7 linked regions of the Mus musculus genome follow. The protein of the gene in region 4 interacts with the protein of the main gene of each other region in a pairwise test. Links are inferred from orthologs where the notes say so. Each region holds a gene or a part of one and is shown on either strand. Other genes may lie near its edges. The genes, in order: Sp2, Jup, Saxo1, Fhl2, Dcp1a, Id3 and Ccdc92.

Region 1 (4,052 bases), on a different chromosome or scaffold from region 4:
TTTTACAGCAGTGGAGTGCTCAGGGTCTAGAAAACTGCTAGAGTCTACTAGCTGGCTGCAAGAAACTTTAAAAGTCGTTCTAAGGGCCATGGTTGGGCAACACTTGCTTAAAGAAAGCTTGGGGATTGCCACATATGCGTCAACGGTCAGACTTGACACTGCTTGCTACAAGGGATTATAACTTCTCCAAAACACTTAACCACTTAGAAGAACTAAGATAGTCAAGACCAAAATACTAACTTCTCTACCTGCTGGAATGGATAGGCTTTTTTTTTTTTTTTGGTTTTTCGAGACAGGGTTTCTCTGTAGCCCTGGCTGTCCTGGAACTCATTTTATAGACCAAGCTGGCCTCCAACTCAGAAATCCACCTGCCTCTGCCTCCTGGGATTAAAGGCGTGCGCCACCACGCCCGGCATGGATGGGCTTTTTACCCAAACATCTGCCGTGTAATCTTTTTTACTGCTTCTCTTCCCTTTGACAGGCCTCCACAGGCCCACATTTTTTGATATCTTCTAATTCATGTATTGGTTTTGTGCTCCCTCCCTCCCTGTGTGTATGTGTCTTTGTGTACAAAAGTATTGAAGTTGTTTCTTTCCTTCCAGGTGAGACACAAGGCCTCAGGTAATCAGACTTGGCAACAAGTGTCTTTACCCACTGGGCCTTCTCAGTGATCCTGGCCCAATGTTTAAATCAAATCTAAGTAGAGGTCATCTATGTAGTATCAGCAGGGATGTCAAACTCTTCCCCTCAGAGCAGCTGGGTGCCCAGGGGAAGATCCGGTTATGGACAAATCCTAGTTAGTTTTCTTTGGCAAAGAGCCTGTGTCTTTAGCAGCCTAGCTTGCGGAGCTCACAATGGTGTCAGAGCAGCTTATTTTTCCCAATGGCTGTTGATTTTACTCAAAGAGGCAAGTAGGAGGACTGGAACTAGACAGCTCATCCGTCACTTCAGCCAAAGATAACTCATGGTCACTGGTATTGATTGACGTCTGCCTGGTCACTAGAAACCAAGCAAATTGGTACACACCCATAACCTCGGCACTTGGGAGGCTGAGGCTGGAGCATAGAGATCTCAAGTTCAAGGCCTACACAGATCACAGGACAAACACACGCCAGCCAGGGCTTCACAGCAAGACCAGGCTCCAACACCCTACCACCTAAATAAGAAACCACTGCAACACTGACATAAGCCCTATTGGGAGGTTCTGAGATCCGCGCTGTTCATTGTCCTTAAGAATTTAAAAGAAAACAAGACACTGCAGTTATACTCATCGCTACAGACAATGGACTTCTTTGTGTCAATAATGGAAAATGCTACTGTGTGGTCTGGGCTCTTGTCATCCCCTGTGCCAGTTCACTGTGAGCTGGCTCACCCTAACCTTTCTAGCCCTCCAAGACAGCTCAGCCGTAGAGGTGCTTGTCCAACATTTGTGGATTCAACCTTCATCACCACAGGGGGGTGGGGGGGGGGTGTCTCAACTCAGGGTTTTGTCCTCTGTAATGCCAAGGGCCTTCTAGGGCACAGCATGGAACAGCTGTAGCCTGTTCCTGCCAGTACACACTGAAAAGTTAATCGCCTTTCTACAATGAAATCTGTATAAAGGGGACCCTTGGGCCAATTCCTGGCTCACAGACCACTGGCTATGGTCTGCCTCTCTCCTCGTTGACAGGCCTCTACAGGCCCAAACTTTTATTTTGATATGTAATAATCCTGTAACCTCCTAAAAATGGGGAAAGTTCAGGAGAAAAAACCAAACAGAGTCCCCCTGGATCATGTTAGTTATGAAACGATTAAACATGACAGGCTATTAGAATCAAAACCAAGGAATGTAGAGAGGACAGGTTTCTCAGTCGCCCAGCGCAAAAGACAGTTCCTTTTCTACTAAAACTAGAATAAGGCACTGGGAAAGAAACCTAAGAAGGAAGGGAAGATTCTGAGCACCCTTAAGCCAGCAACGCGGATGAAGAAAAGCATCTATTTTATTTCTTAGGTCATCTGTTACGAGCGATAGCGCCTACGCTTTTTTGGAATTCCAGTGCATTTTTGCCCAACCCCCCCACCCCCCGCAAGGGGCATCGGGCCATAGCCTGGGAGCTCTGTCCACAAGTTCTCCAAACTTCTAAAATTCCAAGAGCTTGCAGATACTAGCCGCAGGCTCAAGGATCCAGGTATAAACATTAAAAGTCGGTTTTTCGTTCAGCAGTCATCTGCCTAGGGCGTTCCCTCCAATCCTGCCACCCTCTGGGACTGCGGTGGCCCGGCCAGCAGGCTGCAGTTCAGACCAGCAGGGCCCATCTGACTGGCACCACCTGGGTCCCAAGCCTGGGCTGCCCACAGGACGAGCCCGAGGGGGCGTCGGCCGCCTGCGTGGAGCAAACTCGGGCGCAGGCTGAAGGCCCGGCGCGACCCAAGCTGAGGGGGCGAAGGGGGTTATCAGGCTCGCCCTGCTGCCCCCGCCGCCTGCCAGCCCCGGAAGCGCCGCCCTCCCGCCCGGGGCTCCGAGGGGCGGGGAGTCTAACGCCCCCTTCCGGGTGCCTCCGCCCGGCCGGCCAGCCGCGCTCCTCCTCCGGGCGGGAATCCTTCCTCCCCCGCCCCTCCCGTAGCCGGGCCCCGGCGCCAGTCCCAGTCCCAGGGGGGCACCCCCGGTTCCGGCCTCCCCTCCCCGAGGCCTCTGTCCGTCTTCCCGACCCTTGAGGGCCGGGAAGACGCCGCCGGCAGACGCCAGGACCCACCGCTCATTACGACATCTTCCTCCCTGGCCTCCGCCGCCTCCGCCGCCACCGAGAGCCTGACACCGCCCGCCTAGCACCCGCCAATCCCGGAGCCCGCCACCGCCCGAGCGACGGCAGCTTTTACCAATGAACGCTTGGTACATTGGGGACCGACAGCATTTTCAACCAATCATTGGGAAGCATCTAGAGTGACGTTGGTCTGGCCAATAGAACTGTGAAGTGTCATTGATAGACGGTAGGAGTCGCCAACCGGAAATCAACGGGGGAATGAACGACGTATCCTTTAGCCAACTGGCGGGAGGCAAAGTCCCGCCTGCTAGGAGGTTGATGGACAGCAACAGGAAGCTGGGTGAGGAGGGGCTTAGCCGAGAAGTGTTTTTGTATTGGTCGTAATTGACCTTCCACCCACCTCTAACCCAGCAGATAAGTGATAGATCTGCCCTAAAGCCAATCAGAAGTGCTACTGTGAAATGCCCCGTAAAGAGCTTATACATCTCTCAATACAGTCTGGCATGGTGAGTCTCAAGTGTAGCTGTCGGATACGCGGTGCCCGGCCCCCAGTGAGCGCATCGCCTTCACCTCAGGCCCTCGCCCGCCATCCATCGCCTCTCGAGAGTCGACGACCTGGCAGGAGTTGGGTTACCTGGCACTTCCTAGAGGGAATTGTCATTATGTCATCTCAAGCCCCTGTTAATCTTCACCAATGTTTCGCAGAGCTTCCCTGATCCTCTCAGCTTCAGACAGGCGTGTTTGAGCCTTTATCAAAAGCAGATCCCTAGGGTCGTCCCTAGTTACATTTGCTATTTCCCGGGGGGCGGGGTGTGTGTGCCTAGAATCTGCATTTTAGCCTGCGCCTCAGGTGGGCAGAATTGCACGCTGGCATCCTAGCGACCCTGCTTGGTCTCTGCTTCATCTCCTCCTGTATGAGGGGCCGTGCTTGACAGGCACCACAGGTAGGTTTAGCTTTCTCTTCCAGGCCCTCTGCGAACGACTAACTTAGGCAAGCTGTACGTAGCACTCAGAGGGAATTCACGCTGGCTTGAGACCTGCGTGGGTAGGAAACCCCACACCCCATCTGCAGTGGACCCTTAGACTCTTGTTGAAGCCAGAGCACTCACACATCCACCTCATAGTACCACCCTTCCTGGTTGGTTTTGTTTTGTTGTTTTAACCCACAGTGAGAAAAAAATGTTTTACATCCAGTAAATTAACTTATAAGAACATGTAACAAAGCTTCCCAAATCAACATTTGAGAGACATTGATCGCAGGTAGATGAGACACATACATCCCTGCTGGGGTCTTATTTGCTGAGGATCAAG
Region 2 (3,500 bases), on a different chromosome or scaffold from region 4:
AAACTTAAAGTAGTTTTAATTTTTTTAAGTGTGTGAGTGTGTGCCGGCATGTATGTTATGTATATATACCAAGTGGGTGCAGTGCTTATGGTGGCAAGAAGAAGGTGCCAGAACCTCCTGGAACTGGAGTTAGATATGGCTGGGAGCCACCACGTAGGTGCTAGGAATGGACCCTGTGTCCTCTGCAGGAGCAGTATGTGCTCTTAATGGCAGAACCATTCCTCCAGCCCCTAATTCTTTTTTTAAAGACTGGAAATATAGCTCAGTGGTAAAGTGCTTGCTGAACAAATATGTGGCCCTACGTTTACTTCCTAGAACTGTACTTCAATAAATACATATTCTGCTGCAGACATTTTTGTAATGATAGGTGTCAGACATGAGTCTTTTAAAATCAAATCATGATCTTGGTTGTCATAGAGTTGGATGAGCTAGGAGGGCCTCATGCTCTCAATGGGATGATACAGACAAGGGCGATGATGGTCCCCTAAGACCCTGGTTAGGTTCAGAATCATGAGTGATGCCCTGTACTTTGGAGAAACATGAGGGAGCTTGGAGCCACACCTTCAAGGCTTGCCTTGCTCTTCAGGGTCCCAGTAAAATCTCCTGTAGCTCAGTCCTATGTCATTTGGCTTTCAGGTGACCTGGAATACCAGATGTCCACAACGGCCAGAGCCAAGCGGGTGCGGGAGGCCATGTGTCCAGGGGTCTCAGGCGAGGACAGTTCTCTACTGCTGGCCACCCAGGTGGAGGGGCAGACAACCAATCTGCAGCGCCTGGCCGAACCATCCCAGTTGCTCAAGTCGGCCATCGTCCATCTCATCAACTACCAGGATGATGCAGAGCTGGCCACCCGGGCTCTGCCTGAGCTCACCAAGCTGCTCAACGATGAGGACCCGGTCTGTGAAGGGCCTGGAGGTGGGGTGGGATGGAGCTGGCTGTCCTCAGAGGGAGGGGTCATCTAAGGATGCCACGGCCTTTGCCTTCCTTCCCTCTGTGGAGGAGGAGCCTGAGGCTATCTGCTCAAGGTCTCACACACTTCCTCCAGGTAGTGGTGACCAAGGCGGCTATGATCGTGAACCAGCTGTCCAAGAAGGAGGCATCCCGCCGGGCTCTAATGGGCTCGCCCCAGCTGGTGGCGGCGGTGGTGCGGACTATGCAGAACACCAGTGACCTGGATACTGCCCGGTGTACCACCAGCATCCTGCACAACCTCTCTCACCACCGAGAGGGCTTGCTCGCCATATTCAAGTCTGGAGGCATCCCTGCCCTAGTCCGAATGCTCAGGTACTTGTTTCTCGGCTGCATGGGAGCCAGGGGCCTCCCAGCATCCCGTTTCCTGGGCTTCCAATACAAGTTGTTACAAAGAATGGTTGAGAGTGTCCAAAGGCAGAGCTTTGACAACTCTGGGGGTGGAGCTTTGACAACTCTGGGGGTGGAGCTTTGACAACTCTGGGGGTGGAGCTTTGACAACTGAGTATACTTGGTCAGAGTAGATGAGGGGCAGGCTATCCTAGCAGGAGAGAACAGCATGGCTGACCCCCCCCCCCCCAGTTGTGCTTCCTCCTCACCCCGTGGCCTGGTACTGATGTAAATGGGAGTTCTTTGAGGGTAGAAGTTGATTTCACTCCCCTCTTATCCTCTCCCACAGCTTCTCCTGTATGACCTTACACACAGTAGTGACTCAGCTGCCCAGGGACCTAGCATGTAATTAGCACCGTGCGGAACCTCAGATGCGAGAGTAGAGAGAAGATGCACTGTGTGCCAATGTCTTTAAGAGTGGGGCTGGCTGGGCATAGTGGGGCTCTCCTTTAATCCCAGCCCTCAAGAGGTCGAGAGACATGCAGATGTCTATGAGTTCCAGGCCAACCTGATCTATACAGAGAGTTCTAGGATAGCCAGGGCTCCATAGTGAGAACCTGTGTCCAAAAAGAAAAAAGAAAGGAAGGGTGGGATTGGGTCTGGGGGTTGGCTCAGTCAATAGAGTGTTTGTTTACCTCTCCAGCACCCACATGAATATGCTAGATGCCATAAAGCGCTTTACTGGCAGTGGGGAAGCAGAAACCAGAAGCATCCCTGGGGCTTGCTGGCTGACCAGTTTAGCCTAATGGGTGCCAGGCCAGTAAGAGAGCCTGTGTCTAAAGAAGGGGACTGTGTTCCTAAGGTACACACCTGAGTTTGTCTTCTGGCCTCCATACACGTTCATTCACATACACACACACACACACACACACACACACACACACACACATGAGCAAAATTTAAAAAGCTTTGTGCTTAAGGAAGGATGAGATTTTGGTAAGGGTATATTTGCATGGGGGGTGTTGATTTAGGGTGAGCTCTCTGGATGTAGCAGGGACTCCTTCCAGACCCACATTCCGGCAACTGGCTCACACAGGTCCTCTCTGTTCCTCAGTTCCCCCGTAGAATCTGTCCTGTTCTACGCCATCACCACACTGCACAACCTGCTGCTCTATCAGGAGGGCGCCAAGATGGCGGTGCGTCTGGCAGACGGGCTGCAGAAGATGGTGCCCCTACTCAACAAGAACAACCCTAAGTTCCTGGCCATCACTACTGACTGCCTGCAGCTCCTGGCCTATGGCAACCAGGAGAGCAAGGTGGGTCCCTCCACCAAAGCCTACAGCAGCATCGTAGTGGCTTCTGGCCACTTCCGGAAAGGCATATTGATGTGTCTACACAGATGAATGTGTGTCTTACCCTAGTTCTGAATTCTTCAGAACTAATGATTTAAGGATGAGAAAAGAATTAGGGATCAGGGTATAACTCAGTGATAGAATAGAATGATGCTGAGTGTCATTGGATTCAGTCCTTAGAGATGAAAAGAGGGAAGGGGTCGGGGGTGGTGGCGCATGCCTTTAATCCCAGCACTTGGGAGGCAGATGCAGGCGGATTTCTGAGTTCGAGGCCAGCCTGGTCTACAAAGTGAGTTCCAGGACAGCCAAGGCTACACAGAGAAACCCTGTCTCGAAAAACCAAAAAAAAAAAAAAAAAAAAAGAGGGAAGGGTGGAAAGATGGCTTGGAGGCCAGAAAAGGGTAATAGATCCCCTAGAACTGAAATTACCGATTGTTATAAGCCACCATATGGGTGCTGGGAATCCAACCTAGGTTCTCTGGAAAAGCCACCAGTGCTCCTAACTCCTGAGCCGTCTCCAGCCCCCTGTGTATTTTAGACAGGTTCTAACTAACCCGGGCTAACCTGGAATCCTACATCTTCTTGTCTCGGTCTCCCAACTGCTGGTGTGCAACACCAGACCTGGCAGAGCTCAAAAGGTCTTTTGATTTTTATTTATTTACTTTTAAGCACGTCTAGACTTACTCCGTGGGTTAGCTCTCTTTCCAAAAGGACTACAGTTCATCACTGTCAGTGGTAGTGGCTGTGACTAGCTTTCCTTTGCTACATCCTTGCCAGCATTTGATATCATCGTCCTCACCCCCCAAACCCCCGAGTTTGTTGGCTTGATAGTCTCAAAAGCATTTACAG
Region 3 (3,977 bases), on a different chromosome or scaffold from region 4:
TAAAATAAAATAAAATAAAATAAAATAAATAAAAGCAACAAAAAGAAACAGTAATGTTTAAGTCCAAACATTCTCCTATAGTAGTAGACTGTATGGTATGCTACCGCACTTCTTTTGCTTGCTTTTGAGAAAGGGAGAGCCATGTAGCCCAGAACTTGCCTCCTTGCCCCAGATGCTGGAATTCTAGACTTGTGCTGCCACACCCAGCTCGAGAGCAGAGGCCCTTGACTTTGTTTTATTGTCAGAGTAAGCTGCTATCTTGTGAAAACACAATTCCCAGAATAGTTGTTTTCACTGCTTTGAAATAGAGTGAAGTCTCACTTTGTAGCCCAGGCTGGCCTTGACCTTGCAGCAACCCTCCTGCCTCAGTCTGTGCCGGGATCACAGGCTGAAGCCATCATGTGCTCTGACTGGTGGTTATTTGATACAGGAGATTCCAGGGCAGAGGTCTGCAGTGGTTTTCAGGACCGGCTTAGATATTAGGGAAGAGAGGTCAGAGGCCACAATAGAAGCTCCATAGCTGCGCTCCTTGAAGTGTGGGCTCTGGGCCAGCATCAGTAGCATCATTAAAAACTTGTAAGAGACACGTGTTTTCTGGAACCCATATTTCAGAAACAACAAACTCAGGGTGGGGTCTGGCAATCTGATTTTTGTCAAGCCTTGAGGTTCTGATGCTGCTAACATTTGAGACGTCCCTGCTTCTAGGCGTCATTACCTGAGCAATAGAGGGCTGGACCCTCTCATGCTGCTTTGTTCTCAAAAGCAGAGGCCTGTGGTTGAAAGCAATTCCAAGATGCAGGCAGCCAGGTATAGATTTTCCAGGAAGATCTGGAGATGGAATTCAGGGTCAATATTCTGGAGGTCCGGGCATGCATTTCCTCCAGACGGACAATGTGTCCTAGGGATGGAAAGTGCCACCCGACAAGATACTTTTCATTGTCTTTGCATTATGTGACCGTGCTGTTGGTTAACTCTGGGACTCGGAGGCTTCCTAAAGCCCTCCAAGGTATCTTCCATCTTCCTTCCAAGTTCCAGTGGGAGAGTCCCTGTCTTGGGTCTGCCAGGTGAGATACTAGGTGAAGTCTGACCTCACAGGAGGCCCTTATGATGTCATTGCCACCTCAAGATGCCCTCCTCTGTGACTTTGAAGGTCATAGAGGACTCAGTCCTGGGCCCTGTGGCTTGCAGGGGCCAGGCTGTGCTGGCAGGTGGGTGCTTCCCACTGGCCGCAGTGGCAGCAGCTTACAGACGTGAGCCGGCCTGGCTTGCTGTCTGTGCTAAGTGCTGCCTGTTTGCCCAAGGCCAGCCTCAGGAAAGGAATAGACTACAGAATTTTGCAAAAGGGCCACCTAAGTTTCCTTCTGAGCAAAACAGCATCGGTCAAGGCACCGAAGAAGTGTGATCGTTGTCCCAGGCAGCTGGGATCCTCTAGGCGATTGCCTTAGTGGAAAGTCCGAGGTGAAGGATGGGGAAGAGGACTTGCATCTGCAACCTGTGCTCCTGCGGGTAAGGTAGTCCTCCCAAGGGCAATCTGGGGAGGGGAGCCTGATTTTCACACTCCCTAGGGTGCCAAGCCCCTTTCCTGGAACGAAGACAGGATGTGTCTTCTTCATCCCGCTGCTTCGCTAGGCAGCATCGCACTGGATTCGGGTTTTAAACTGCAACATTGTTGACTAATATTTGATGCACACATGTCGAATCAGCGCTGATCAGGTAGTGTGTGTGTGTGTGTGTGTGTGTGTGTGTGTGTGTGCGCGTGTGTGTTTTCTGCAGGGTAGAGATTCAGGCACTTTGAGAGTGGGCTGGGCCCAGCCTTGTCTACATGCTGTTAAGACATGATGGAAACCCTGGACAGGCTGGGGCCGGTCTTGTTTCTTCTGTTGCAATTGTTAGAACAATAGTTCTTTTGTGTGGGTGAGTTTCTCACTTACAGAAATTGGTACTTTGGGAGCCATAGTGCACGGGCACCAACTGTTGCAGTGTTGAAATAAATAGCTAATCCAGGGGCGAGTTCGCTGTAGTTTTTGGGCAGGATGCCTTTCTGCCCCTTGTCTTCAGGGCCATGATGGTGCAAAGCACAGTGAAGGCAGGGTTTTGGAGAGGAACGTTGGGCTGCGGTCTCTGAGATGGTCCTTCTGGCTGCTTTGCCAGGACAGCTAGGGAACTGCAGGGCTGTGCCAGCCAGGGGATAGCAGAAGGGGCAGTACATAAACTTGCTTCCCAGGCTTCTGGCTAAGACCAAGTGAAAGGAGTGGCCTCGGGGACTAGCCCTCTGGGGTTGTCACTAAATGTGGGATCTGGGCTAGGAACCGAACGTCTCCCCATTCAAATTTCCCTAGGAATACTCTCCTCACAGGACTATTACAAGTGAAGGGATAGGGTGTATGTCTATGCACATGGATTCTATCTATTCTGTTAATACCCTAAGATCTGCAAAGGATTTTACAGCTACATATGTTACATGAAATAACAAAATTATTGTATTTGGGAGAATAGGTTAAGAGGACACTCTGAAAACAGAAGACTTTGAATTCTCAGGAATCAGTGCTCATTAGAGTGGACTGGGAACTTTAAAATAGGTGTCATTGCTCCAGCTGTTCATGAGCAATCTCTAAGGACAGTCCCATCAGCAGACTCCAGATAGATACTGCCATTTCCCAGAATTCTGAGCTCTGCTACCTACAAGTGTGGCTCTTGTTTTCGAGGTTTGTCAGGTGGGACCAGCCAGTGTCCAGGGCTAATTTTTCATACTACCGAACATTCAGTTTGTTTTTTTTTTCTAAGACTTTGCTTCCTTGTGGGGCCTTTTGCATCACTCCTGGCTCCATCTCTGCTCTCAGAAGAGTGGGGTTGAAGTCTTTGAGTCCCATCTTTGCACAGTATGTAGTCTAGGAAGACGGGGACTCATCAGGGGTGAGGAACGTAGAGTCAGATGACACCTCCATTCCTATCTGATGTCCTCAGATTCTCTTTTTCCCCCACCCTGCAAAGTTGCTCCTTCCACTGGATATAAAGTCTTTCTGGCATGCCTTCCTTGCCTCCCCCTCCTGTGTCTACTTTACGGTTCTGTCACGTGCCTTGGGTCTGACTCTCATGTTGGTCAGTCTTCCCTCCTGCCTGCTTAGTCTATTTTAGTTTTTTTTTTTTTCCTGTGATTTTGATGGGGCATCTCAGAGTTCAAAGCAAACTTTTTGGTCTCCACTCATGGTTCCTTTGTCTTGCTTTTTTCCCCTTTTTGAAAATGCGTCTACCTTCTTCTGCCTCCTAACCTTTTAAGATCTTGCTCATGTTATAAGACTCCCGTCTGGCTCAGTCCTATAGACCCCACCTAGTACAGAGGTAGGACCCCACTTCCTATGGTCTTTTAGCTATGTGTATGCCAGCTTCATATCTAGTGATGGTGTGCTCTGGAACAGCCAAGCTCTGTTTTTGTATGCTTTGTGATACTGACCTGTTGAGTAGTCAGAACACACCTTTGTAGGATGGTGGTGGGATCTGTGGAGTCCGTTAGGGACATACAATCTGGAGTGGTGCTGTCTCCAGTGCTTGCCACATGATGCCATTTTACTTCAGTGAATTACAATTGAGGGCTTCCCCAACTTCCTCCAGCCACTTGAGGGCTGGAGAACTATTTTAGTAGCTAAGAGCATTGTCTGCTCTTCCAAAAGACCCCGGATCAGCCTGGCCTGGGACACACTGTGTATAACTGGGAACTTCTGTTTCTTCTGTTTCCATTTCCCAAGTCCTGGGATTAGAGGCCCATATTACTATTCCCAGCGTTTCTTTGGCTTTTGAGTTTTGTTATGTAGTCCAGGTTAGCCTTCAACTCATGATTCTCCTGCTTCAGCCCTGCTGCTGCCAGGATTGTAGGCATGTGTCACCATGGCTAGCTCCTTAAATATGATCTCACCTGTAGTACATGATACTCATCAGTGGGGGAAGGCCTCTATTTTTGGACATCAGTGGGAAGAGCAGCC
Region 4 (3,500 bases):
GCTTCTTCAGAAACCTCCTATGACTTAAGATAGGGCGAGGATAAAGGCCTTCAGGGTCCCACGCCAGCAGATGCAGGTTCCAGAAAGCCTCTGCCTTTCTGCCTCTCTAGTTACTGTACAGGCTGAGCATGAGAGTAGAGCTGGAGAGGCCATCAGTTGCTGGGATTTGAAGGAAGGCTTCCACAGAGATTCATCCTTTTCTCTTCATCACTCCGACTTTGTAGACAGAACTGAGGTACTGAGGTCTCTAGCTACAGGATCTCAGGGCTGCTCAGAAGTAGCAGTCGATGCCTTCAATGTTATCTCTGACCACTGTGCTACCTTCCTATCTGGGATGGTGACAATGCCCCATGGCACTCATTCCTTCTGTTCCCCTGCACTACTGTGAAACCTAAAGACCCCACATCACTAGGGAGAAAGCCAGGAACCGTAGCAATGGTATGGATGATAACATGAGGTGCCTGGGGTATGAAGTTCCTTTTCTTTTCTCTTTTCTCTTCTCTTCTCTTCTCTTCTCTTCTCTTCTCTTCTCTTCTCTTCTCTTCTCTTCTCTTCTCTTCTCTTCTCTTCTCTTCTCTTCTCTTCTCTTCTCTTCTCTTCTCTCCTCTCCTCTCCTCTCCTCTCCTCTCCTCTCCTCTCCTCTCCTCTCCTCTCCTCTTCTCTTCTTTTTATTAGATAATTTCTTTATTTACATTTCAAATGTTATCCCTTTTCCTGGTTTCCACTCCGAAAACCCCCTATCCCCTCCCCCACTCACCAACCCTCCCACTCCCGCTTCCTGGTCCTGCCATCCCCCTACACTGGAGCATAGAGCCCTCACAGGACCAAGGGCCTCTCCTCCCACTGATGACTGACAAGGCCATCCTTTGCTACATATGTGGCTGGAGCCACAGGTCCCTCCATGTCGACTTTAACAAACTGCATATTTGTTGTGGGTGGGGCTCGTGTCTTACATCATTCATGGGCAACAGCAGTGACAGATGTTTACCAGAAACAGGGGTAGCCCTGACTCATACACTTGTCTCCCCCAGCCTATCACCACAGGAGGTGTTACTTACCGGGAGCAGCCCTGGCACAAGGAATGCTTTGTGTGCACAGCCTGCAAGAAGCAGCTATCTGGGCAACGCTTCACAGCACGGGATGAGTTTCCATACTGCCTGACCTGCTTCTGTGACTTGTACGCTAAGAAATGTGCTGGGTGCACCAACCCCATTAGTGGTAAGTGTCCTGGGAAGGCCATTGCCAGGGTAGAGACTGTCTGCTTCCTGGAACAACATGGACGTCTAGAGTGTTAGCATAAGAGTGTTGTTAATATCTTGAGGCTCTGAGCCCAACAAGCATTTTTGCCTCTGCTGTGTATCCTCAGAACACAGCTGGTGGCTTCCCCTTAAGCCTGGTGATGCAGAACCATTGGCATGTCATTGAGTGTTTCTGCTTGGGTCTGAGTCTATTATAGTCACATGAACAAAATGAATGGTGCATTTCAGCCCCAACAGCAGACCTGGTATTTGAAGTATTCATGTCATCTTAACGAGACTCTTCTAACCACAAACCACAGCTAGGTGGGGACACATTCTGAGTAGCACAGTCCCCAAAGAGTTAGACAAAGTGAGAGCCCAAAATGTGCCTGGTTGACAGACTAGTATTTGGGCTGAGCTATTGAGTATGGTGAAGATATTGAAGGTAAAGACTACTGGCTCCAGACTAAAGCCCTTTGATTTTTCACCATGTACCAATCAGTGGCAGGGGGTGAGAGTGCAAGTATTCTGTCATATATAGGAGTGTTTCTTGAAGTGGTCTTTCCAATCCCATTCATTCAGTCTACCTGTTTTTGTTTGTTCTTCGTTGCTCTGATAAACACCATGATTAAAAGCAACATGTGAAGGAAAGGATTTCTTTTGTCTTACTGTTTATACTCCATCATGAAGACAAAAGGGGCAGGAACCTGGAGGCAGGAATCCAAGCAGAGCCATAGAGGAGTGCTGCTTACTGGCTTGCTCTTCATGTCTTGCTCAACATGCTTGTTTGTATAGCCCAGGACCACTGTCTGGGGTCACACTCTCCACATTGGGCTTGCCCCTCCCATGTCAATCATTAATCAAGAAAATGCCTGACAGACTACTTGGCTACTGGAAGAGGTTCCCTCTTCCCAGACAATTCTAGGTTGTATAGAGTTGACAAAAAGCTAACCAGCCCACATTGCATCATCCCTGATGCACTGTCAGTAGACATATGTGGCAGGAAGCAGAGAGACACAGACTTTCCCCTATAGCTTTGTAGGTAGGGTCTTTCTTTATACAGACACGCTTGCAGACCATTGTGTACCTTGCCTAGAACCAAGTTGTCTTGTTCCTATGGGACTTCCCAGCTGGCAGGCCTTGGTTCATGCTTTATTTGCATGTAAAATTAAAATATACAAAATAGATAAATTTTGTTGAGACATCTGATTCTAGCGACTTAGATACTGTATTTCCTTTGAAATTAGTTTGGGAGGACAATGGGACATTTTCAGTGGCCTGCCCATCTTTGAAGCTGTTTTCCTAGCTTCTGCTAAGGAAATGTCTCCAACACTTTATAATTTATGGAAACGTAGTATGAATGTGAAGTACTTTATATTAGACATGGATGTCTGCTGCAGTTATAGAATTTGGGGAAAAGGTTAGAAGAACCAGAATTCTTCCTTTAAAACAGCAGAATTAATGCTCTGAAAAGCAATGATTGATTTTCAAGAACATATAGAAGAACTTTGAAACTGCAAACTAGAATGTACTCTTAGCTGTATTTCCAAACACTTATACATACCGAGCTTCGATGAGGTTTCTAATAGATCCTTAGTACTTTTTCTCTTCAACACAATTTATACTGCTTTTACGAATAATTGGAAAACACTAATTTAAAATTTTCTATGTGCAGTGATGCTTACTTCTCATCCATAATTGACCACAGTATCGATCCATATAGGTATGCAACTTTAAATCAATACCCAGGTTGCTGGTAGTGACCCACAGATGTGCACAAAGCAGCAGTGGGTTTGAGTTCCCACGCATCTATGCTCTGGCTGACACTGGATAGATGAAGCTCTGCCCCTGTGTTCTAGCTCCCTTCTTCCTTTGTAGCCCTAGCTGTGCTGGGACTCACTCTGTAGTCCAGGCTGGTCTCGAACTCACAGAGATACCCTTCCTTCTGCCTCCTCAGTGCTGGGATTAAAGGCATGCACCACCACTGCCTGGCCTCTAGCTCCCTGCTTAAATAATGTGTCCCACAATGATGTGGGGATTGTTTTTGTCTTTTACATTTTTTGTGACTGGGGGGGCAGGGCATTTCCATGTAGTGCCCTTGAGTATAAGAAGGCAATGTGTCTTAACAGAGGAAACACGTTAGAGAAGGTGTTGACCAGTTTTAATGTCAGTGATTTTAAATTAAATTAAAATGTCTAATATTCAGAGAGAGGCATGCATAGAGTAACATCTTTGGTCATTTGAAACATAATAGAAGATTTT
Region 5 (3,500 bases), on a different chromosome or scaffold from region 4:
GGATGAACTACCACATGCACGTTTTAGTTCATTTTTTGTCACAGAATCTCTAGCCGTCTTGTTTCAGCATAAAGAATAGGTTTGGTTTTTGGCTTTTGGTTTTTTTTTAAACTACTGGGCATTCAGTAATCAGGAAGCTGAACCAGAATTGTTGAAGCTTCAAGGCCAGCCTGGCTTCATAGTAGAGCTGTGAAATAATTGTCACAGTTACATTTGTGATTATATTTTTTTATGTTTACAGTTATGTAAATTTTCCAGTTAGTACTTGAGAATAGTGGGATCTGGAGAATGTAAGACTATGAGGGAATGAGCCTTGTGAATTGATAGGATACTATTGTTGTTACTCCTGTAATTTATAAAGGGATTTGGATGTAGACTCACTGTAGGAGGATCTCTCTGAGTTTAAGGCCAATCCAGTCTACATAGTTCCAGGACAGCCCAAGCAGTGTGGAAAGACCTTGTCTCATAATACCAAACACACACACACACACACACACACACACACACACACACACGCGCGCGCGCGCGCGCTCCAGGTTCAGAATCTCACTCTAAATATAAGGCCATAGCAAAAAGGGATAAAAAATATATTCTTTATGCATGTGCATATGCTAGGTAAGAGTTCTACCACTAAACCACTTCCCCAACTTCTTTTTTTTATTATTATTAAAGTTTTATTTACTTAATTTATATGAGTACACTGTCGCTGTCTTCAGACATACCAAAGAGGGCATCAGATTCCATTACAGATGGCTGTGAGCCACCATGTGGTTGCTGGGAATTGAGCTCAGGACCTCTAGAAGAGCAGCCAGTGCTCTTAACTAAGCTGAGCCATCGCTCCAGCTCCCACACACACAAACACACCTCTAAATTCAGTGTAAATGTCTTCCTTTTTCCTCAGGATTCTGTAATTTGAGGGTGTAGGGGAGTCATGACTGAGTACTGAGTGGTTAAAGTTGCCTTAGGTGTTTAGGATCTGCAGTGCAGTGCTAACGTTCTATCAAGAACAATAAAAGTGAGCCACTTAGAGTTTGGTCCTCTCGCACTGGCATCATTTGCCAGTGTGTTACTAATGTGGACACTCGGTGTGGGTAACTTTGTTGTGTATAGCCCCAACCTTAGCCACATTCACCAGGGGAAACAGAGTAAATGCTAAAACTGTTCTCCGTACGGAACTTTGTCACTCTACAGACTTTGCTAGAAGGTGGTCTGAGCCCTGCTGCACCTCAGGTTGCTCCAGGCTGTTTTCATCCGCTGTCCTTGCTTCTCCATATGTGCACATGATGGAAAAGAATCCTAGTTACATTGGTTTCTGCGCCTCTCTTTGATTTTGTCACTTGCTTTTGTTTTTCAGTCTGCTCCGTCTGGTCATAAACATCTGACAGTAGAAGAGTTATTTGGAACCTCCTTGCCAAAGGAACAACCAACAGCTATGGGTCTAGAGTCAGAGGACACAGACAAGCTGCTGGGAGATGCATCACAGAAAGAGCCCAGCTCATTCCTCCCATTTCCCTTTGAGCAGTCAGGGGGAGCCCCTCAGTCTGAAAACCTGGGTATCCATTCTGCCGCTCACCACACAGTTCAGCCTGAAGTCAGCACCCCAGTGCTGATCACTCCCGCCTCCATTGCACAGTCGGGTGACAAACATCCCCCAAGCTACACACTCCCACTGAGCCCTGTCCTCAGCCCCACTCTGCCAGCTGAAGCTCCTACCACACAAGTTCCCCACTTACCTCGGAATAGCACCATGATACAAGCAGTAAAGACCACACCCAGGCAGAAATCTCCACTCCTGAACCAGCCAGTCCCTGAGCTAAGCCACAGCAGTCTGGTTGCTAGCCAGAGCCCCTTCAGAGCCCCGGTGAGCCTAGCAAACCCAGCTGGCACAGCCCTCCCAAGCGTTGATCTGCTTCAGAAACTCAGGTTGACCCCACAGCATGACCAAATACAAGCACAGCCGCTTGGAAAAGGAACCATGGCGCCCAGCTTTTCTTCGGCAGCTGGCCAACTGGCCACCCCTGAGAGCTTCATAGAGCCTTCTTCTAAGACAGCAGCAGCAAGAGCAGCAGTCTCAGCCTCCCTGAGCAACATGGTGCTTGCTCCAACCCTCCAGGTAAGACAGGAGCAGGAGGGCATAGAGAAACAAGACTACAGAGGCCTCAGCTTTAAGTGACATGAGACTTTGTGTGTGTGTGTGTGTGTGTGTGTGTGTGTGTGTGTGTGTGTGTGTGTGTGTGTGTGTATTTTGTGCAGCAGCCATACCCAACTAAAGATGATGTGTGTGTCTGTCTTGTCTGTCTATCTGTCTGTCTCCATGGTCTATAACTAAATTTGCTCTGTGGGGTGAGGGGGCCCTGTCTGTCTATCTGTGGTCTGTAACTGATCTTGGCATGTAGACTTGTACGCAGGTGTATATGCATGCGTGGGTTTCCAGGTTCTGTAGTAACTCAGATTTGCTGTGTAAACAGACCTGGAGGAATTTGCATTGGAAGGTGACTACATTGTAGTTAAGGAGTGTGAGTTATATTTCAGACCTTAGGAAGGCATTGAAAGGTTCTGAACGAAGAGTGACTTGTTGGTAATGTCAGAAACAGGAATCTGGCCACCTGTTCCAGGACAAGCTGTCAATCACTTTGCCTGAGCAGTAGGGGCCTGGGTTGAGCACTGTGGACAAGGAGATTTTTAAAGTATCCGGTCAGGGAGGCTTCGTGGTCGATTGGTAGAGAGGGTAAAGGAGAGGTTTGCCCTTCAATAGCAAGTTTACCAGGGAGAAAACGAGCAGAGTGTGATGATCACATGGCCACAGCTGGAAGGGAGTGGGGTGTGCTGCTCTGTGACTGCTGCCTGCCTGTCAGTATTTGGGTCTGACACAAGAAGGAAGGAATGATGTGCGCGCGGGCAGGGCCTGTGCTGTGTGTAGGTGTCACGGGCCAGGAGTGCTCTCGCTCCTCTTCCTTTGCTCTGATGGACTGACTGCAGGAAGAAACATATGAAGGGAGTTTGTTTGGGTTTCTGGTTGTGAGGGAAAGGGTTGCCCCACCTCTCAGTTGATCTGGAAGCTCAGGTAATGATCTGCACCTGCCTTCTCCATACTCAGCACTAGAAGACAGTGACGCTCCTGCATGCTGCTTGGCAGAAACCACTTACATATGTGTAAATACTCATTTACATGGCAATAGCTAATTTTAAGATCTTCTTGCCTGATATAGTGGCAAATGCCTTTAGTCTCAGTAGGCAATCTGTGATTTCAAGTCTAGCCTGGTCTACATAGCAAGCTCCAGGCTAGCCAGGACTATCCTTTCTCAAAACAAAAAAACCCTGGTCTGCATGGAGTTGTCTTGTGTTTACTGGGCAGCATTAATTCTTTCCCAAAGACCATGAGCATTCACACCTATAAAAACATAGTGAAGAAAGCTGAGGCAGAGGGGTCTCAAGTTAGAGACCAGCCTGAACAACCCAGGTCTCAAAACCAAACAACAAAAGGACCTTCTCTGTCTCTT
Region 6 (3,497 bases), on a different chromosome or scaffold from region 4:
ATGTCCTTCCAATTATTGGAACTGTCCCAGCTCAGAGGTCCCATTGTCCTGTTGATCAGTGCCACACACTACTGAACACTTAATTGTTTCCTGTGTTAATCTTGTCCCCAGACATTGTGAGATTCTTGAGAGCAGGAGCCTCTGTTTCATGTGAAGCAACTCCATAAATATTTACCAGGCTGATTGATTAAGAAAGCAATCTCGTGGCTGCAAAACCCCACCTGTTCTCTCCCAAGATGGAAACCAGAATTTTGGAACTGCTGAGGCTTCGGGGTCTGGGAAGCAGAGCCAGGCAAAGAATAGAGTGCACTGTCCTTTTGCAATATGGGATTGCCTGCCTGCTGGCTGCTCTCCTGCTCTCTCAGATGGGTGGCTGGGGCTACTTCAGCAGGACGAGGAATAATCATGTCCAGGTGGCTGCCCTTCCACAACAGAAAGGGACAGACAACGCGGCGATGAAATTGTTATTGTTTTCTACAGAGTGTGCAAAGTGTGCAAAGGGAGGGAGGCTGTGCAGAACGAGGAAGCAAACGCTAGACAGCTGACCCATTTGGTTCTATGTATGCCCGTGGAGGGGACCTTCTAAAAGGGTTTATGCAGCAAGCACCCCCATATTTGAAACCTTGTCCAAAATCCTAATCAAATTCACTTCCAAAGCACAACCGGGCATACATTTAGTTCCTAAAGGAGTTCTCGGTGGAAACGGTCCATGCTTTTTCTTTCTCCGTGGAAAAGGACTGGGTCCAGACTGCTCTTATCCTCTTTCCCCTGGTGCTCAAATAAATAGTGTTCTCTGCTTAGACCTCCCTTTCCCTCCTTCTTCTGCAATCTCAGCGCCTAGCCCAAATCTGTTTTCTTCATTGTAACCTCAGCTTCACCGCAATTAATTTTTTCCCCCTCTGGTCACAAGATAATTCCTGACGCCAGTGAGTCTGGAGGTCAGACGAGCAGCAAATTGGGGAACAAGGCGGCACTAATTCCTTACAAGTTTCCCTTGAAAATTCTTGAGAGAGAGAGGAGAGAGAGATCTTTAGTTGTTCAAGGGATTTATGACCTCAGAGCTGTGGGTTCGAACCAGTATTGGGGGGAGGGGACCTCAGAGAACTTGGGCGCCTCCAGAAAAGGCATATTCTTAAAAGTTAATGGTTTTAAGTGATTTTTTTTTTTTTTTCAAATCTGTGCTGGCTCAAGAGCCCCGCCTCTCCTCGGTATCAGCGCTTCCTCATTCCTCGCATCCGAGGCTCCGCTGTCCTCGGCGTCAGACCAGCCTAAGGAAGCCTGTTAGCAATTTAAACCCACTGTGAACGCCCAGGACCGGGGAGGCGGTGCCCAGGGCGGGCGGGGGTGGACCCTTGGCGGTCTGTTTTGAATAAGGGGGTGTGTCCTAGAGAGGACTCTATAAGAGTCGGCCGCTGCAGGCGTGCGCGCACTGTTTGCTGCTTTAGGTGTCTCTTTTCCTCCCTCTCTATCTCTACTCTCCAACATGAAGGCGCTGAGCCCGGTGCGCGGCTGCTACGAGGCGGTGTGCTGCCTGTCGGAACGTAGCCTGGCCATTGCGCGAGGCCGCGGTAAGAGCCCGTCGACCGAGGAGCCTCTTAGCCTCTTGGACGACATGAACCACTGCTACTCGCGCCTGCGGGAACTGGTGCCGGGAGTCCCGCGAGGCACTCAGCTTAGCCAGGTGGAAATCCTGCAGCGTGTCATAGACTACATCCTCGACCTTCAGGTGGTCCTGGCAGAGCCGGCGCCTGGACCCCCGGACGGTCCGCATCTCCCGATCCAGGTGCGAGAGGGAGCCAGACCAGGCTGCTCTGAGCGTGCGGGCAGGGATGCTGCGGGTCTTCCCTATCGCGTCCCCGAGTCCCTTGGCTAACTCGTCTCCTAACCTTCTTTCACAGACAGCTGAGCTCACTCCGGAACTTGTGATCTCCAAGGACAAGAGGAGCTTTTGCCACTGACCCGGTCGTCCTGGCACCTCCCGGTAAGCTTTCTCCTGGCGCGGGCGAGGAGGGAGGCTTGCATGGGAAATCCTGCCTTTGACAGAACATTGTAAGGCTTAGGGTTCAGTCGGTTTAGGGAAAAAGCCAAGCCACTGAAAGGCAAAAGCCTTATCTATAATCAGTTAGAATAAACGACAGAACCTATGTCAATATCACGTGCATTCCTTAGACACGCTGTCCCTTCTCATCCCGGGTGGCCAGAGCCCAGGGCAAGTGGGCGCGCGGGTCGCACCAAATGAGCCTTGGAGTAAAGGAAGCCCTCCCCCCTTTCCACTAGTGTTATTTCTAAGCGGGAGGGGGAGTGGTGACTCCGCCTGTGGTCCTTTGGCGCCAACTGGGTGGAGGCAGTGTGGGGAGCGGAGTTATCAGCTGGAGGTAGAGACCGAGTTTCCTCCCTGGCGCCGGCCAGTCTGCGGCATCCTCCGCCTGGGCGCGCTCGGCGGAAACTGACGGCTCCCTCGCTCTTCTCTCCTCCCCCGCCCAGAACGCAGGTGCTGGCGCCCGTTCCGCTTGGGACCCTGGGACTCTGGGACCCTCTCTCCAGCCGGAAGCCTGAGGGCATGGATGAGCTTCGATCTTAACCCAGCCCTCTTCACTTACCCTGAACTCAACGCCTCGAGGCTGGACCTGGAGCCCGAGAGAAGGACTGAACTTGGGTGGCCTGAAGAGCTAGCACACGCTGGTCAGCAGCTGGGCAACGTCACTCTGTCCCCACCCTGACTCAAGTCTAAAAGACTGGCTTTTCCGAGAATGGGGTGTCGAGAGGGTGTGGGGGGATGCGAGTGGCTGCCCTGCGCACTCTGCCAAGGCAGCATAAGAGCTGTTCTTCTGGTTTCCTTGGAGAAAAGCTCTGCTGCCCTGATTATGAACTCTATAATAGAGTATATAGCTTTTGTACCTTTTTTACAGGAAGGTGACTTTCTGTAATCATGTGATGTATATTAAACTTTTTATAAAAGTTAACATTTTGCATAATAAACCATTTTTGAACACTTTGTGTATGACATCTTGCGCCACCTCCTAGGAGCTTGGGGCGGGCAGATTTGCATACCCTTTTAGGGACGAGAAAGTTCCCAGCTGAAGCTGAGGGCTAGGGTGGCTTGGTTAGTAGGAAGGGCTGGGGTTGGGAATCCCCAAAAACATTGGAGGTTGAAAGCAAGGATCTATGATCCTACTCTCAATTACAGGAGCCTCTCCTACAGCCGGCAAGTCTGAGACCGAATCTTTTTATTTCTTCAATTCCTTGAAACTTGGCAGCAGCTCTTAGATGGATGCCGCAAATGATTGGGCGAACCTTCCTGGCGGCTCGGGGTCAAGTGTGGGGATGAACTATTTCGTATTTAAATAAACTGCCTCCATTAACTTCATGCTTTCTGGTCTGCCTTCCCCCCAGACTTCCAAACTTGGAGAAAGGAACCCTGCGGGTGAGGTGGGGGGTATAGTGATTTGTACTTTAATCCCAGCACTCATGAGGCAGAGGCACACAATCTCTTGAGT
Region 7 (4,282 bases), on a different chromosome or scaffold from region 4:
CTCTAAAACTCCCGATCGGGCAGACGCATCCGGGAGACCGACTTGCCTGGAGTTTGGCTAGAAAGGTCTCACAAAGAAGCAGAGTTCAAGGAGAGCGGAGAACCTGGCTGGAGACGGCGGCCCGCGCCCTCTCCAGGGAAAGCCGGTGCGCCCGGAGGCGGCAGGGGGAGTTGCGCCCAGCCCTGGCCGGCTTACCTGCCAGTGAAAGCCGAGCCCTGGCGGTGGTCAGACAATGGAGGCGTCCGGCGGCAGCGGCAGCAACAGCAGCAGCCTGGCGCGCTGGGGACGCGGGGAGGTCCTCATCACCTGGGCGGGATGCTGAGCGGCCACGGCCGGGGGACCGTGCAGTGCTGGAGACACAACCCGACACAAGAGCCCTGCAGCGGGACCGCTCTACGACCCTCCGCCGCCCCCGCCCCCGGCCCCTGGGGCCCGCTCGCGCGGCCATTACCGCTCTCTCGGGACCCGCCTGGATGCGCTCCAGGGCGCGGCCCTCGGCTCCCAGAGCTGCCGCTCTCCCGCCCGCCTCGGCCCCGGACAACAATGGGGCCCCGGTCCGGGAGAGTCCAGCTCCCGCGGGGCCTCTTCTGCCTCATCCCGCGCCCGACCCGGGCCCTGCGCCGCAGCGGGCACCGCGCTGACCTTCCCTTCCCTCCTCGCCATGCCCGCGGCCCAGGCCCGGTTGAAGGATGGGTTGTTTTCCTTTTCCTGACTCCCCCGCTTCCCCCCGGGACTCTACCAGCCCGCCTTCCGCTCCCCCAGCCCCAGCCCGCTAGTCGGCCCCACGCCCCGGCCTGAAAAGCCGAGAGACTCAAACGCACCGACTCCGGTCGGCCGCTCCAACTCCCTCCCGAGCGTGGCCGAGGAGCGCGTCCAGGCCTCGGACTCCGCGCGCGCCCACCCCGGGCCGCCCTCTCTCTCTCCTTCCGAGGGAGACACCTCACAGGTGCGTCTCCGAGCCGCGCGCGCGCGCTCCGCACACCCAGACGCCTCCGGGAGGATGGGGGTGGTGGGAGGGGAAAGACGGCGCGCGTGCGCACGCGCCAGGCCGGCCAGCCCCATTCCCTCCCATGGGAGGGGCGGGGAGAAGGAGGAGGGCATCGCACGCATGCGTCCCGGGGCGTCTCAAAGTCCCCGCCCACACACGCACGCACGCGCGTTCCCGCTCCGGGTCCTCCACCCCTCCTCCTTGTCCCCGCCCCACCCCGCCCTGGTTACCCCGGGCAACCGCAGTGCGGCCGCACCTGAGCAGTGCGCTTGCGTGTTGCTAACTAACATCCCTTTTTTTTTTTTTTTTTTCCCTTTCCCTTCATCCTTGCCTTTGCCTTTGCCCTGCCGCAGCCGCAGGGAGTGGCGCGTCGTCCCCTTTCCCCTCCGCAGAAAGAGCATCGATCCGCCCGGGTCCTCCCCTCCCATCACTAGCAGACCGCCGCCGTGTCGGCGCCGCACCGTCTCCTCAGACATCCTCCTGTGCGAGGACTAGTCGGGTAGCCAACGGCTCCCGGCGTGCACCGCGGCGAGCGCTCGGAGGGAGCGGACGGGATGCGACGACCGGGCGGCGTCTCTTGAGTCTCCGTGCCCCCCGCGGCAGGGCCGCCGCGCACCCGGCTCCCACCGTCCCTGCCCATGGGCCGCGGGCCACCGCGAGAAGCAGGCCGAGCGCCGCAGCCGCCTGAGGGACCCTGGCAGGTGAGGCGCGCAGCCTGCGCACGTCCAGAATCCTTGAGCTTCGCTCGCGGGGGGCTCGGAGCCAGGCTGCGCACCGGCGCGGCGGGGGAGGCGCGGCGCAACGGCTGCAACCGCCGGCCCGGGCCGGGTACGAGCCGCATTGCGGGTGCGGGGCAGCGCCCCGGGGTCCGGCCCCAAGCCGGCGGGATGCTGCGGGCCTCAGCCGCCTGCCCGCGTCACACCTGCCGCCTCCCGGACCTGCAGCTCTGGCGACCGGGTGGCTCCGCGTAAGTACTCTTTGCCCTGAGCTCCCGGGACCCGCGGACGCGCACGCTGGCCACGCTCGCAGGTAGCGGGCAGCACCCCTGGTTGCGGTTCCCTCGGGCTGGATCCGGCCCTGCGGGCTAAGAGTGTCAAAACCTCAAGTATCTTTAGCTGCACGGTCTAGTTCACTGATGACAGAGAGGTGCCACTGATGACAGAGGGGAGCCGGGAGAGGAAAATGTGACCGTGCTCTGTGACAGGTGGCACCGGTCGGTTTCATAACAAAGTACAGGCTTGCAGACACCTTTTAGGAGTGTTAAAAGCAGCCGGGCGTGATGGCGCACGCCTTAAAATTTCAGCTCTCCAGAGACAGAAGCAGGTGGATCTCCGAGTTGGAGGATAGAGAATTCCAGACAAGCCCAAGGCTACATGGTGAGATCCTGTGTCAAAGGAAGGAAGGGAAGAAAGAAAGTTAGTTAAAATCAGGATCGCAGACAGACTAAGTTTGAAATTAATTTAAATAGCATTGGTATTATTTTATTTGCACAGCCAAGAATTCCCTGGCATTCTATCGCCATTGAATTGTAAGGCTTTTCAGATGCTAGAGTTCCAAGTGACTTTCACCTCCAGTTTTTCATGTTTTCCCTTTGGCTAACTGTTCACCAAAATGGCTGAATATTCTAATCCGTTTTGAAGAAAAGCTTTAAGACTTGTGCTTCTTTATTTTGTATGTGTATATATGTGTACCACTACTGAAAAGCCTTAAAACAGTTTGGATTACTCCTCTGTAGCATAATGACCCAGTTTTGTTAGATTTTTCTGTTTGGATCTGAAGTGTGGAAGGATGTGGGATGTAGGGCTCTACTGAGCTCTAGCCCCAGCCCTGGTTTAGCTATATTTTAAAGTATAGAACAATGACCTGAATGGGCCAGAATTTTTCTGTTAACACACTTAAACATCTCAAATTGGTGTTTTGAAAATTAGACATTTTTTTAAACGTTGAATCTTTTCAAAGAAACACATGAATCCTTTGTTTAGAGCAGCTCACTCATTCTGGGTTCTTAACTCTCATCTGTCCTATGTTGGAAAATCGATTTTAACCTCGTTATCTAATTGTCAGGATGTGTTTGCAGCAGGACTGACGTTAATTATGATGTCGATGCTTTTAAGAAATACTTATAAAGCATTCTCTCGTATTTCTGGCAAGAAGACATGCAGAGCTTTTTTTCTTTTTTCCTTATCTAAAACAAGGTCAGCCATAAATAGATTCTAATGCATACTGGGTGACACATTTATTAACTAAGATTAACTAGCTCCTGAACTTCATATACCACTGAGGGCAGTGGTAAGGCACCCTGCAGTACTGAACATACAGAGGCAAGTTCCAGACCAGCTAGGAAGGCTCTGATGGTTCATCCTGTAGACGCATTTGGCAGGGACAGAAAGACCTGTGTCCTAATGGTCTTCAGACATTTGAAGGTCTGCCATGCAGGAGGGATTTTATTGCCTTAGAGTAATTCCCAGCAAGGAAGAGGACACTGAGTACTTAGGGGAAGACAGCGTCCCTGGTGGTGATGTAAAGCAGAATTACGATCAGAACTTGAGCAGCGAGAAGAAGGGGCAGCTCTTCCCTCGGGCTCCCTCCCAGGGCAGCTTGAGTGAAGACTAGAAGGGCTGGAAGGGCACAGGTCTGATTGAGGGTCTCCTGGGGTTCTGGTGGCCACTGGATTCCAGGACTTAGTTTCCCTTCTAGCTCTGTGGGAGTTTGTTGTTATGTGTTGCAGCTGCCAGCTTCTACAGCTGTGGGCATGTTGACATCCCCAGACACCTACTTGAATCCTGGGAAGATAGGAACTGGCTTATTTGCTTGGTGTCAGAGCTAACTTGAACCCCATTTTGCCTGGTTTGGGGGAGCTTCGAGATAATAAATCACTCCCACTGTCAGTGTGATGTTTGAAATGTATTAGATACTTTTTCCTCTGGCTTTTCTGGAATGACCATCTAGTCAAGATAATTGCCTTTTCTAGGAAGGAAGTAGGAAATCATTCTTGCTAAAAATGAGGTAGTACCCGTTTTCTGGGAGTCAGCAGGTTGTAAAAGTGTGCTTTCCTGAGCTAAGGACATTACAGATGGTAAAGACATGACTTTTGTGCTGGCTCAGCATCCTACTTTCTATTTATTTCATTACTCAAATATGACTCAAGTTTCACAGCAAAACAGTCAAGTCATACCTACCTAAAGTAGTTGTATTCAGTGTTTTCTGGATGGTTTCTAAATATATATCCAGGAAGTAAAACAAAACTATAAAGTAGGGTCACGGTGAAATGAAGAGAGGACGAAAAGGACTGTC

What was found.
Region 1: the proteins of Fhl2 (region 4) and Sp2 interact in binary tests that used the Homo sapiens proteins (3 or more experiments, as listed by UniProt). The two-hybrid records come from large-scale screens. The link is inferred for Mus musculus from reciprocal best matches to the Homo sapiens genes FHL2 and SP2.
Region 2: the proteins of Fhl2 (region 4) and Jup interact in binary tests that used the Homo sapiens proteins (3 or more experiments, as listed by UniProt). The two-hybrid records come from large-scale screens. The link is inferred for Mus musculus from reciprocal best matches to the Homo sapiens genes FHL2 and JUP.
Region 3: the proteins of Fhl2 (region 4) and Saxo1 interact in binary tests that used the Homo sapiens proteins (3 or more experiments, as listed by UniProt). The two-hybrid records come from large-scale screens. The link is inferred for Mus musculus from reciprocal best matches to the Homo sapiens genes FHL2 and SAXO1.
Region 5: the proteins of Fhl2 (region 4) and Dcp1a interact in binary tests that used the Homo sapiens proteins (3 or more experiments, as listed by UniProt). The two-hybrid records come from large-scale screens. The link is inferred for Mus musculus from reciprocal best matches to the Homo sapiens genes FHL2 and DCP1A.
Region 6: the proteins of Fhl2 (region 4) and Id3 interact in binary tests that used the Homo sapiens proteins (3 or more experiments, as listed by UniProt). The link is inferred for Mus musculus from reciprocal best matches to the Homo sapiens genes FHL2 and ID3.
Region 7: the proteins of Fhl2 (region 4) and Ccdc92 interact in binary tests that used the Homo sapiens proteins (3 or more experiments, as listed by UniProt). The two-hybrid records come from large-scale screens. The link is inferred for Mus musculus from reciprocal best matches to the Homo sapiens genes FHL2 and CCDC92.

Annotation. Positions count from the first base shown.
Region 1 is NC_000077.6:96,974,889-96,978,940, forward strand, and holds the start of Sp2 (transcription factor Sp2), read right to left. Parts: upstream 2,801-4,052; 5' UTR 2,740-2,800; coding exon 2,733-2,739; intron 1-2,732. UniProt on the Homo sapiens protein: Binds to GC box promoters elements and selectively activates mRNA synthesis from genes that contain functional recognition sites.
Region 2 is NC_000077.6:100,380,791-100,384,290, reverse strand, and holds part of Jup (junction plakoglobin), read left to right. Parts: intron 1-636; coding exon 637-896; intron 897-1,045; coding exon 1,046-1,284; intron 1,285-2,413; coding exon 2,414-2,615; intron 2,616-3,500. UniProt on the Homo sapiens protein: Common junctional plaque protein. The membrane-associated plaques are architectural elements in an important strategic position to influence the arrangement and function of both the cytoskeleton and the cells within the tissue.
Region 3 is NC_000070.6:86,555,504-86,559,480, reverse strand, and holds the start of Saxo1 (stabilizer of axonemal microtubules 1), read left to right. Parts: upstream 1-1,177; 5' UTR 1,178-1,465; coding exon 1,466-1,506; intron 1,507-3,977. UniProt on the Homo sapiens protein: May play a role in the regulation of cilium length. Stabilizes microtubules at low temperature.
Region 4 is NC_000067.6:43,125,962-43,129,461, reverse strand, and holds part of Fhl2 (four and a half LIM domains protein 2), read left to right. Parts: intron 1-1,031; coding exon 1,032-1,218; intron 1,219-3,500. UniProt on the Homo sapiens protein: May function as a molecular transmitter linking various signaling pathways to transcriptional regulation. Negatively regulates the transcriptional repressor E4F1 and may function in cell growth.
Region 5 is NC_000080.6:30,517,565-30,521,064, forward strand, and holds part of Dcp1a (mRNA-decapping enzyme 1A), read left to right. Parts: intron 1-1,354; coding exon 1,355-2,113; intron 2,114-3,500. UniProt on the Homo sapiens protein: Necessary for the degradation of mRNAs, both in normal mRNA turnover and in nonsense-mediated mRNA decay. Removes the 7-methyl guanine cap structure from mRNA molecules, yielding a 5'-phosphorylated mRNA fragment and 7m-GDP.
Region 6 is NC_000070.6:136,142,396-136,145,892, forward strand, and holds Id3 (DNA-binding protein inhibitor ID-3), read left to right. Parts: upstream 1-1,426; 5' UTR 1,427-1,483; coding exon 1,484-1,783; intron 1,784-1,898; coding exon 1,899-1,958; 3' UTR 1,959-1,981; intron 1,982-2,484; 3' UTR 2,485-2,997; downstream 2,998-3,497. UniProt on the Homo sapiens protein: Transcriptional regulator (lacking a basic DNA binding domain) which negatively regulates the basic helix-loop-helix (bHLH) transcription factors by forming heterodimers and inhibiting their DNA binding and transcriptional activity.
Region 7 is NC_000071.6:124,859,422-124,863,703, reverse strand, and holds the start of Ccdc92 (coiled-coil domain-containing protein 92), read left to right. Parts: upstream 1-1,482; 5' UTR 1,483-1,689; exon of another isoform or gene 1,690-1,955; intron 1,956-4,282.